Oryzias latipes: one gene and its partner. The protein of the gene in region 2 purifies or fractionates together with the protein of the main gene of each other region. This does not show direct contact. Links are inferred from orthologs where the notes say so. Each region holds a gene or a part of one and is shown on either strand. Other genes may lie near its edges.

Region 1 (3,206 bases), about 21 Mb from region 2:
TCTGAAAGGCAGAGCAGCAGGTTACCAAGACGTCTGTGAGGTGGTGGCGGCGGGGAGGCGTGTTGCGCCGGGCCTCACCGGAGGAAAGTAGGTGCCCTTGGTGCTGGACGAGCTGCTGGACGAGGCCCCGGTGACGTGGGCCCGGTCGTATGGCGGGCCGCTGCTCCCGCCCATGATGCTTAGGGAACCAATGACAGACTTCCCTCTGGTCATACCTGTGGACAGGTGAGGGCGAGTCATGTCAGGAGGAGGTGGAGCCTAAAAACGCAGAAACGAGGCGTCTGAAGCTCAGAGCGCGGTGCTCACCGGGCAGCGAGCTGGACAGCGAACTCGGATGTGGAACATATCCCAGCGGCACAGACGACGGCCCGTGGACCACGAAGTCGTTGGTGGTGACGGTCTCGCCGTCATCCTTCATTTGGGGACACAAGACGCGCTGACACACAAAATAGATGGCGCCCACCACGAACAAGGCCATGACCACGCCCACGATGGAGTTGATGGTGCTGTTGGTTGGAGGCGGCGGCTCCTCTGTTGGGTCTGACAAACATCAAAAAAACGTTTTAGTGGAGCCAACAGGAGGAAAAACAAACAAAAAAAAAACTTTTGGCATCCTCCCCCGTTAGCCCGTAGCCGCTGTTAGCATGTAACTCGCGTTAGCACACAGCCCCATTAGCACTTAACCCCCTGTTAGCGTGTAGCTTATTAGCTTATTAATATGTAGTATACGTTTAGCATGGAGCTAAAGTGTAGCTCCTGTTAGCATGCAGCTCCTGTTAGCATGTAGCACATTCACAGCAGAGGCGGAGCTTTAGGGAGGCGTGTCGCCATGGAGACTCACAGCAGCCGATCTCGTCAGAGTTGTCGCTGCAGTCCATGTTGTGGTCGCACTTCTTGTGCTTCCCGATGCACTGACCGTTGGAGCAGGAGAACTGATCGGCGGGACACCGGATCGGGACTGCGGACGCAAACATCAGAACATCTTAATCCAGAACCTTCTGAGCGGACCAGCGAAGTCCGGGACGGTCAAACAGCCCATCATGCCTCAGCACTTTGACGACCAGTGCTTTTCTGCCGGACCCCCCCGCCAGCCGCGCCCCGTCCTCGCCACTCTGCCCCGCTCACCTTCACACTTGTTCTCGTCGGAGCGGTCCTGGCAGTTGACCTCCCCGTTGCAGCGCAGGCTCAGGTCGATGCACTGGCGGCTGTCGCACTGGAACTCGTCCTCGGAGCAGACGGGGCAGTCCTCCTCGTCGCTGCTGTCGTCGCATTCCGAGTAGCCGTCACACCTCCACGTCTGCGGGATGCAGTCCACCTCGCCGGACGTGCAGGCGAACTGGTCCGGCGAGCAGGTGGGGGGCTCTGAGGACGACAGAAGGTGATGTGGGCGGTGCCGCAGAGCCCCGTCCGTGCGGGTCAGGGCGGCGCTTTACCTCCACAGGAGAGCTCGTCCTGCAGCAGCACCAGGTGGACGGGGCAGGAGCAGCGCGTTGTCCCGTCGCCCTTCACGATGCAGATGTGCGAGCAGCCGCCGTTGTCCCACGTGCACGGGTGTTTGCCTGCAAGGTCAACCAGGTTGAGGCCGCCGCCTTCGCACAACCATTTTGGTGGCGTGAGCCGGACTCACCGTAGTCCCTCATGTCCAGCTCGTGCACGGCGTGGATGTCGCTCAGGTAGGACACGCGCGCCTGCACCTTGGTGCGGCCGTCCCGCGTCATCTTGTCGATGCGTTCGATCATCTGCTGCTGCTTGTCGATCCAGTACAGATGGTTTCCGAACACGGTGAGCCCGACCGGCTGCAGGATGTTGGAGTCTGCGATCACGATCCGATTGGCTCCTGAAGGATTTAACAAAATAAAAGCACCGGGGAAGGAAAAACTTCAGGAACGGAGGCAACAAAAGGGGAGAGGAGCTGAAGGGGGAGGCGGGGGAGGCAAGAGGAGGAACAAGGATGCTCAGAATTATACAGACGGAAAAAAAGTTCTTCAGCGACCGGACCCAACAGAACGGAAGATTCCAGGGTCGGACGCTCCCCCGCGGCACATTCTCAGATGCCAGAGCCTCTGAGTGTAAACTGTTGACAGTTTCAATAAAGTTTTACGTCAGACAGCGAGGAGGGAACGAGCAGAACCGTCACAGATCATAAATCCAGACTTCACTGCTGTTTGCAAACGGCCACATGAAGCATCCTGACTCCAGCAGGAAGTGAGGATGAAGACTTCAAGAGATGAAGAAGCCAAAGCCCGGCGGCCAGGAACCAGCAGGTAGACGACGGATCTGATGAATGTGTGGAATGAGGGGCGTCCAACAATCCAAGACATGGAGCCAAAGGAAACCTGTTCCTCTCTGCTCCACCAACTTTACTCTGAAGGAAGTTTTATTTTGAAAAGCAGACCTATCTCTATGCATTCAGCAGATCCCACTGTGACCCAGACTCACCGGAAAGGTCGCTGCTCTCGATGCGCCGCAGGTCCGAGTCCACCCAGAACAGCTTCCCCACGTCATTGTCGATGGCCAGGGCGACGGGCTTCCCCAGCCCGCCGAAGAACAGAACCTCACGCTCGGTGCCGTCAAGCGCCGCCCGCTCGATCTTGGGGGAGCGGTCCTGCAGGTTGGTGAAGTACATGTACCTGTGGGACAGCAGGGGAGACGCTGCCTGAGTTTTCTGCAGGTACAGGTCCAAACGGGCCGGTCAGAACCAAACCAGAACTTTGATCTTTCCAGACAGTTCTGGAGTTCCAATGAACTGACGGGGAGCATGAAAGCGCAGGAGCGTGCACGTGCAAACAGAAAGGTCACTGACCCCCTCTCTGGGTTCACCACGATGGCCCGCGGTCGGTCCTGCTCGCCGTTCAGAACCACGCCCACCCTGCTGCCGTCCATGCGCGTCACGTTGATGACGTTGGTGGCCTCGTTGGTCCAGTAGATGAAGCGGCTGAAGATGTCAATGCTCAGGTCGTACAGCTGCAGAACCTGACCCGGTCCGATCAGGGAGCTGGACACCACCGTCGTGCACTGGAACAGCAAACACAAACGGGTCACAGGAGCCTGCGGGTCAGAACCACATGCTTCAGGTCTCAGTGCAAAGAGCCTGAAGTTCTCGGTCCAGGAGAGGAGACTCTGGAAATGTCCTCTTCCAAAAACCCAGATTCACACACGAGCGGTCCTCCAGAACCCAACGGGGTCCAAAAGTATGAATGAAGGAG
Region 2 (4,021 bases):
TCAAGCGGTAGAGCGGGTCGTCCAATGATCGAAGGGTCAGTGGTTCAATCCCCGCTCCCCCAGTGAACCGTTCCTGTGTCGTTGAGCAAGATACTTCCCCGTCCCTGCCTCCAGCGTGTCTCCACTGCTGCATGAATGTCCCGGTGATGATCATGTCTCACAAGTTATATCGTCTTCACAATTTTGATCAGTAACATCCCATTTTCCTCACATCCCGCAGCCCTAATCTGAATTACCAAAATGACTGTGAATGTCATATTTGAAGACCAGAAATAAACTGGAGAAAATGTCTGTCGGAAAAAATACTTTCATTAACATTAAACCTGGGTTTACATGAAATGTTACATATTAGTTATTATTAAATGCTTGTGGTTAACTTCTCACTTTAAATCGTGTGAAGACGAAAATAACACAAATAGTTATCTTATTCAGAAGTACAAATCATTGTGGTTTTGATCACACAAACAAATCTGTTCATTTCGTTTCACAGTCAATATTTTAGAAATGAGCTGGAAAGTGTCAATCGGAGGGTCCTGCGACGGTGTCCCACAGGTTTACAACGGCTTATAACAGAACGTAGCCAATCGCAATCAAGAAATTGCACACAGTTTTCAGAAAGTGCTGTGGGCTGCATATGATTGATCTTGTGACAGGAACCTGCAGCCGTTGGAACTTTGAACACATTTGGCCCATGGTCTGAAATTTGAACATGTCTGGTAAAACATGAAATATATTTTACTTCATATTCACATTATTAGATACTGTCACAGATTTCAGCGTGTGATAAAACACTAGCTAACAACATTTAGCGGGTTTCTTGTGTAGAAAACTTGCTTACCTTTCATCTGTTGTATTTCTTTTACTTTACTCAATCTCTGTAAAAGAAATTGTCTGCTTGTTTTTGTAGATTATGCATAAAATGACTAATTCAAAGGATGTAGTTACACTACAATGACTTAAAAGTCAGGAATGTCTTGGAATTCTGACATAATTATGTATTTTTGTTCCAGGAAACGTTAAGGAGCACGGGAACAAATGGACTGAACACGCTAAGATCAGCAGGTGACCTAGCTGGTACCACTTAGAACAATATAGAATCAATATTGTTCTAGTTCCAATGATGTTTTGATCTATTGTCAAAGTGTTCCCAGTGGTCTTATGATTATGATTACGGCAATCTTAGCCAAAATCCAACAACCGGTGTGGTTTTCTACGACACAGTCCTGCAGAGCATCAGTAGTTCATTGGAAATTTGCCTCTGAGTTTTGGGTGAGACTGTTGAGGCAGAGTAGGCCTGCCCTTTGTTTACACTCTCTACCGCTAGCTTACAGCCCCAACCCAACATTAGCAAGGCAACAAAAAAAGAACTGCAAGCAATATTGGAGCCATCCAGCTGACAGTTTAGATCCAGACTCCAGCTCGGATGAGGAAAATAAAGACGTTCATGGATCCATTTGTCTGCAGGTGGATGCATCAGAATGGAGCGGAGCAGGGAGCTTATGGCCCGTCGACTGTAGCACGAACGCCACTGCTGCAGGTTTTTTCAAACTGCATTTTTTCATCTGCTCCTGATTCACAATGATCTGAATAAGGAAATAATCCGAAAAGCAATTTGAAGCCTAATTTTATTTATATGTATCGTCAAGCGTGAGAAAAATGCTACAGGAACATGCTAGAAAAAGCAAAAACACAAATTTGAAAGGAGTGGGTCTCTCAGAATATTGGACATGTGCATCTTTTTGGGTTTTTGTACGTTTGTTGAACGGCAACTGACATTCTGAAATGATAATAAAGACGTTTTAGCACTGAAAATTATTTGGATTTATTGACAAAAACACAGAAAACAGTTCAACTAAGTGATCCCCTCCTTAATTCCAGTCACTTAAACATGCTATCGTAGTGGTGGTATTTATTTTAAAATTTATTTGCAGTTTTTAGCGTAACAAACTAAAAGCGTCATATTTTAAAACCCCTGAAATTCTATTGAACTTCTATAGGGACAACCAACCCCACAACCTGAGACCACCAACACCTTGTTGGGGTCGGTGGTCACATTGTACCAGAATGTCTTTGATGGTTTATTACTCCTTAACAAAGACCTTGGTAAAAAAGATACATACTTAAAGTTAGGACCTTAAGCTTTCATTTAGGAATCGCTGCTTTTCAAGATGAGCAATGCAAAGACGAGTACAAATGGTGACCGACAACCCCTGTCTCCCTTAAAAAAAATGATGTAGAAAAGTGAATTTAGATTATATTCCAAATTGTGCGCGTGGGACGTTCTGTGCACGCGCGGAGTTTGACACACGCTCATTGGTGACTTTTGTCTCTAATGTACCGCCATAAAACACTCCGCGGAGCTTAAAAGTGTTTGTTTTCGACGGTTTCCCGTCGTTAAATCCATCCGCCACAGTCACGACTTGTGTCCGTGAGGCACACGCGCGCGGCGAGCAACAGATGAGCGGCAGAAACGCGCGCGTGCCCCAAGCCGCGAGCCTCAAAGAGTGTGTGGGAAGAGATGGGGGGGGGGAGGGGGCACAAGGTGGCGGGTCGCAGATACCTTGTTCGCAGCGGAGGGTTCGGACATTATCTCCCGTCAACTTCCGTCCGTCCACTTTCCCCGAGCTGCGTGGCTCCTTTCCCGGCGGCAGCGGCAGTCCGACCGCTCGGCTCGTAGCTGTGGGAGAAGTTCTATTTTCTTCCCCCCCCCGCCGCCGATTCTCTTTATTTGGTCCGGTCCATGTGGCGGTGCCGAAAACTTCTTTTGTCCGCGCGTGTTTTCCTTCACATGTCGGCAGCGCGCTGGTTAATAATCCCTTCCTGGAAGAGAGAGACACCCCCCTCGCGCGCGGTGTGTGTCGCTCATTGATCTGGTTGTGTGTAAAACGGCGAAATGACGTGAATTCCCAGCAACGAGCCTTGCCCCCTTTTAAAGGGAAACCCGAAGCAGGAAATCGCAGCGGGTCGCTCTGCAGACACGCAACTGCCGTCTGAGAGACGAACGAGAAAAACCGCGCCGTTGAAGGGCTTTTAACCATCGTGCTTTGCGTTGCATCGACCATAAAACTAAACTGTCATGTTCAAAATAAGGGAGGAAAAAAAGGTGGAATATTTTTTATACCTCTAAAAAATGCCGCACAATGAAAGGTATAACGTCATAAAAATATTACAATTCATGCCGCAAAAGTATATTAACAATACATTAGATACAATGTTTTGAAAACCATGACTAAACCTGCAGTTTAAAATTACCAATTCAAATACCATTTGTTTTCATGTCTGAATCTCTCGTGCAGCCAACTATTAGTATCCATAAAAGACATCTAAAATAATCAGTGACATGAGATCACAGGAGTCAGTAAACTATTCATGACTTCTAGATAATGCAATTTAAAATAAAGCACCAAACCTTCCTGGAAACCCGAAAACAACAACACTCGATCAGGGGTTTAATTTCCCAGCCTAGGCAGACATTGTGTGTCCCACGCTGGTCATAAATGTAAGAAACGTGTATGTCACTTTGAATATGAGTGTCTGCTAAACAGCTAAGTGGATAAAAAGCTCCATTAAAGCTTGTTTGATACCATTTCCAACCTTTTTTAGGCTCATGCAGACAACAATATTATAGGATACAATTGTAAAAAGAAGTATTGAAGAAATCTGGATACAAATGAAGAAGAGGAACAGCAAAATGCAAAACATAATTGGTTAACGATAAAACTAAACATGGCAGTTTTTCAATATATAAAGATGTGCAAAAACTCTTATTTGTGAAATGTTTCTCTTAAATTTTTGGAAAAGTTTAGGAGAGTTTAACAACAATTTTTTTTCGAAGACGAGCCAAAAAAGACAATTATTGGATAATTACAACTGTGTTCTAACTCCCCCCAGATTGTTGGAGCTAACATTCTTGGATGTAGAGTTAGAAAGCAAAAGCCTACTGAAAACAGAATTGTAATTGTTTAATAGTATTAACACACAGTTCTGCCTCTACTGCCATGTGGTGAAAATCTGTGAAACT

The links. The genes of interacting proteins can lie anywhere in the genome.
Region 1: the proteins of etv6 (region 2) and lrp6 purify together in Homo sapiens (affinity purification with mass spectrometry; 3 studies listed by BioGRID and IntAct, counting the BioPlex papers as one, with this or other methods). This does not show direct contact. The link is inferred for Oryzias latipes from reciprocal best matches to the Homo sapiens genes ETV6 and LRP6.

What each region holds. Positions count from the first base shown.
Region 1 is NC_019881.2:23,640,492-23,643,697, forward strand, and holds part of lrp6 (low-density lipoprotein receptor-related protein 6), read right to left. Parts: intron 3,016-3,206; coding exon 2,804-3,015; intron 2,631-2,803; coding exon 2,440-2,630; intron 1,838-2,439; coding exon 1,628-1,837; intron 1,560-1,627; coding exon 1,434-1,559; intron 1,363-1,433; coding exon 1,126-1,362; intron 959-1,125; coding exon 842-958; intron 541-841; coding exon 307-540; intron 216-306; coding exon 79-215; intron 2-78; coding exon 1-1. UniProt on the Homo sapiens protein: Component of the Wnt-Fzd-LRP5-LRP6 complex that triggers beta-catenin signaling through inducing aggregation of receptor-ligand complexes into ribosome-sized signalosomes.
Region 2 is NC_019881.2:2,234,364-2,238,384, forward strand, and holds the start of etv6 (transcription factor ETV6), read right to left. Parts: upstream 2,801-4,021; 5' UTR 2,588-2,800; coding exon 2,561-2,587; intron 1-2,560. UniProt on the Homo sapiens protein: Transcriptional repressor; binds to the DNA sequence 5'-CCGGAAGT-3'. Plays a role in hematopoiesis and malignant transformation.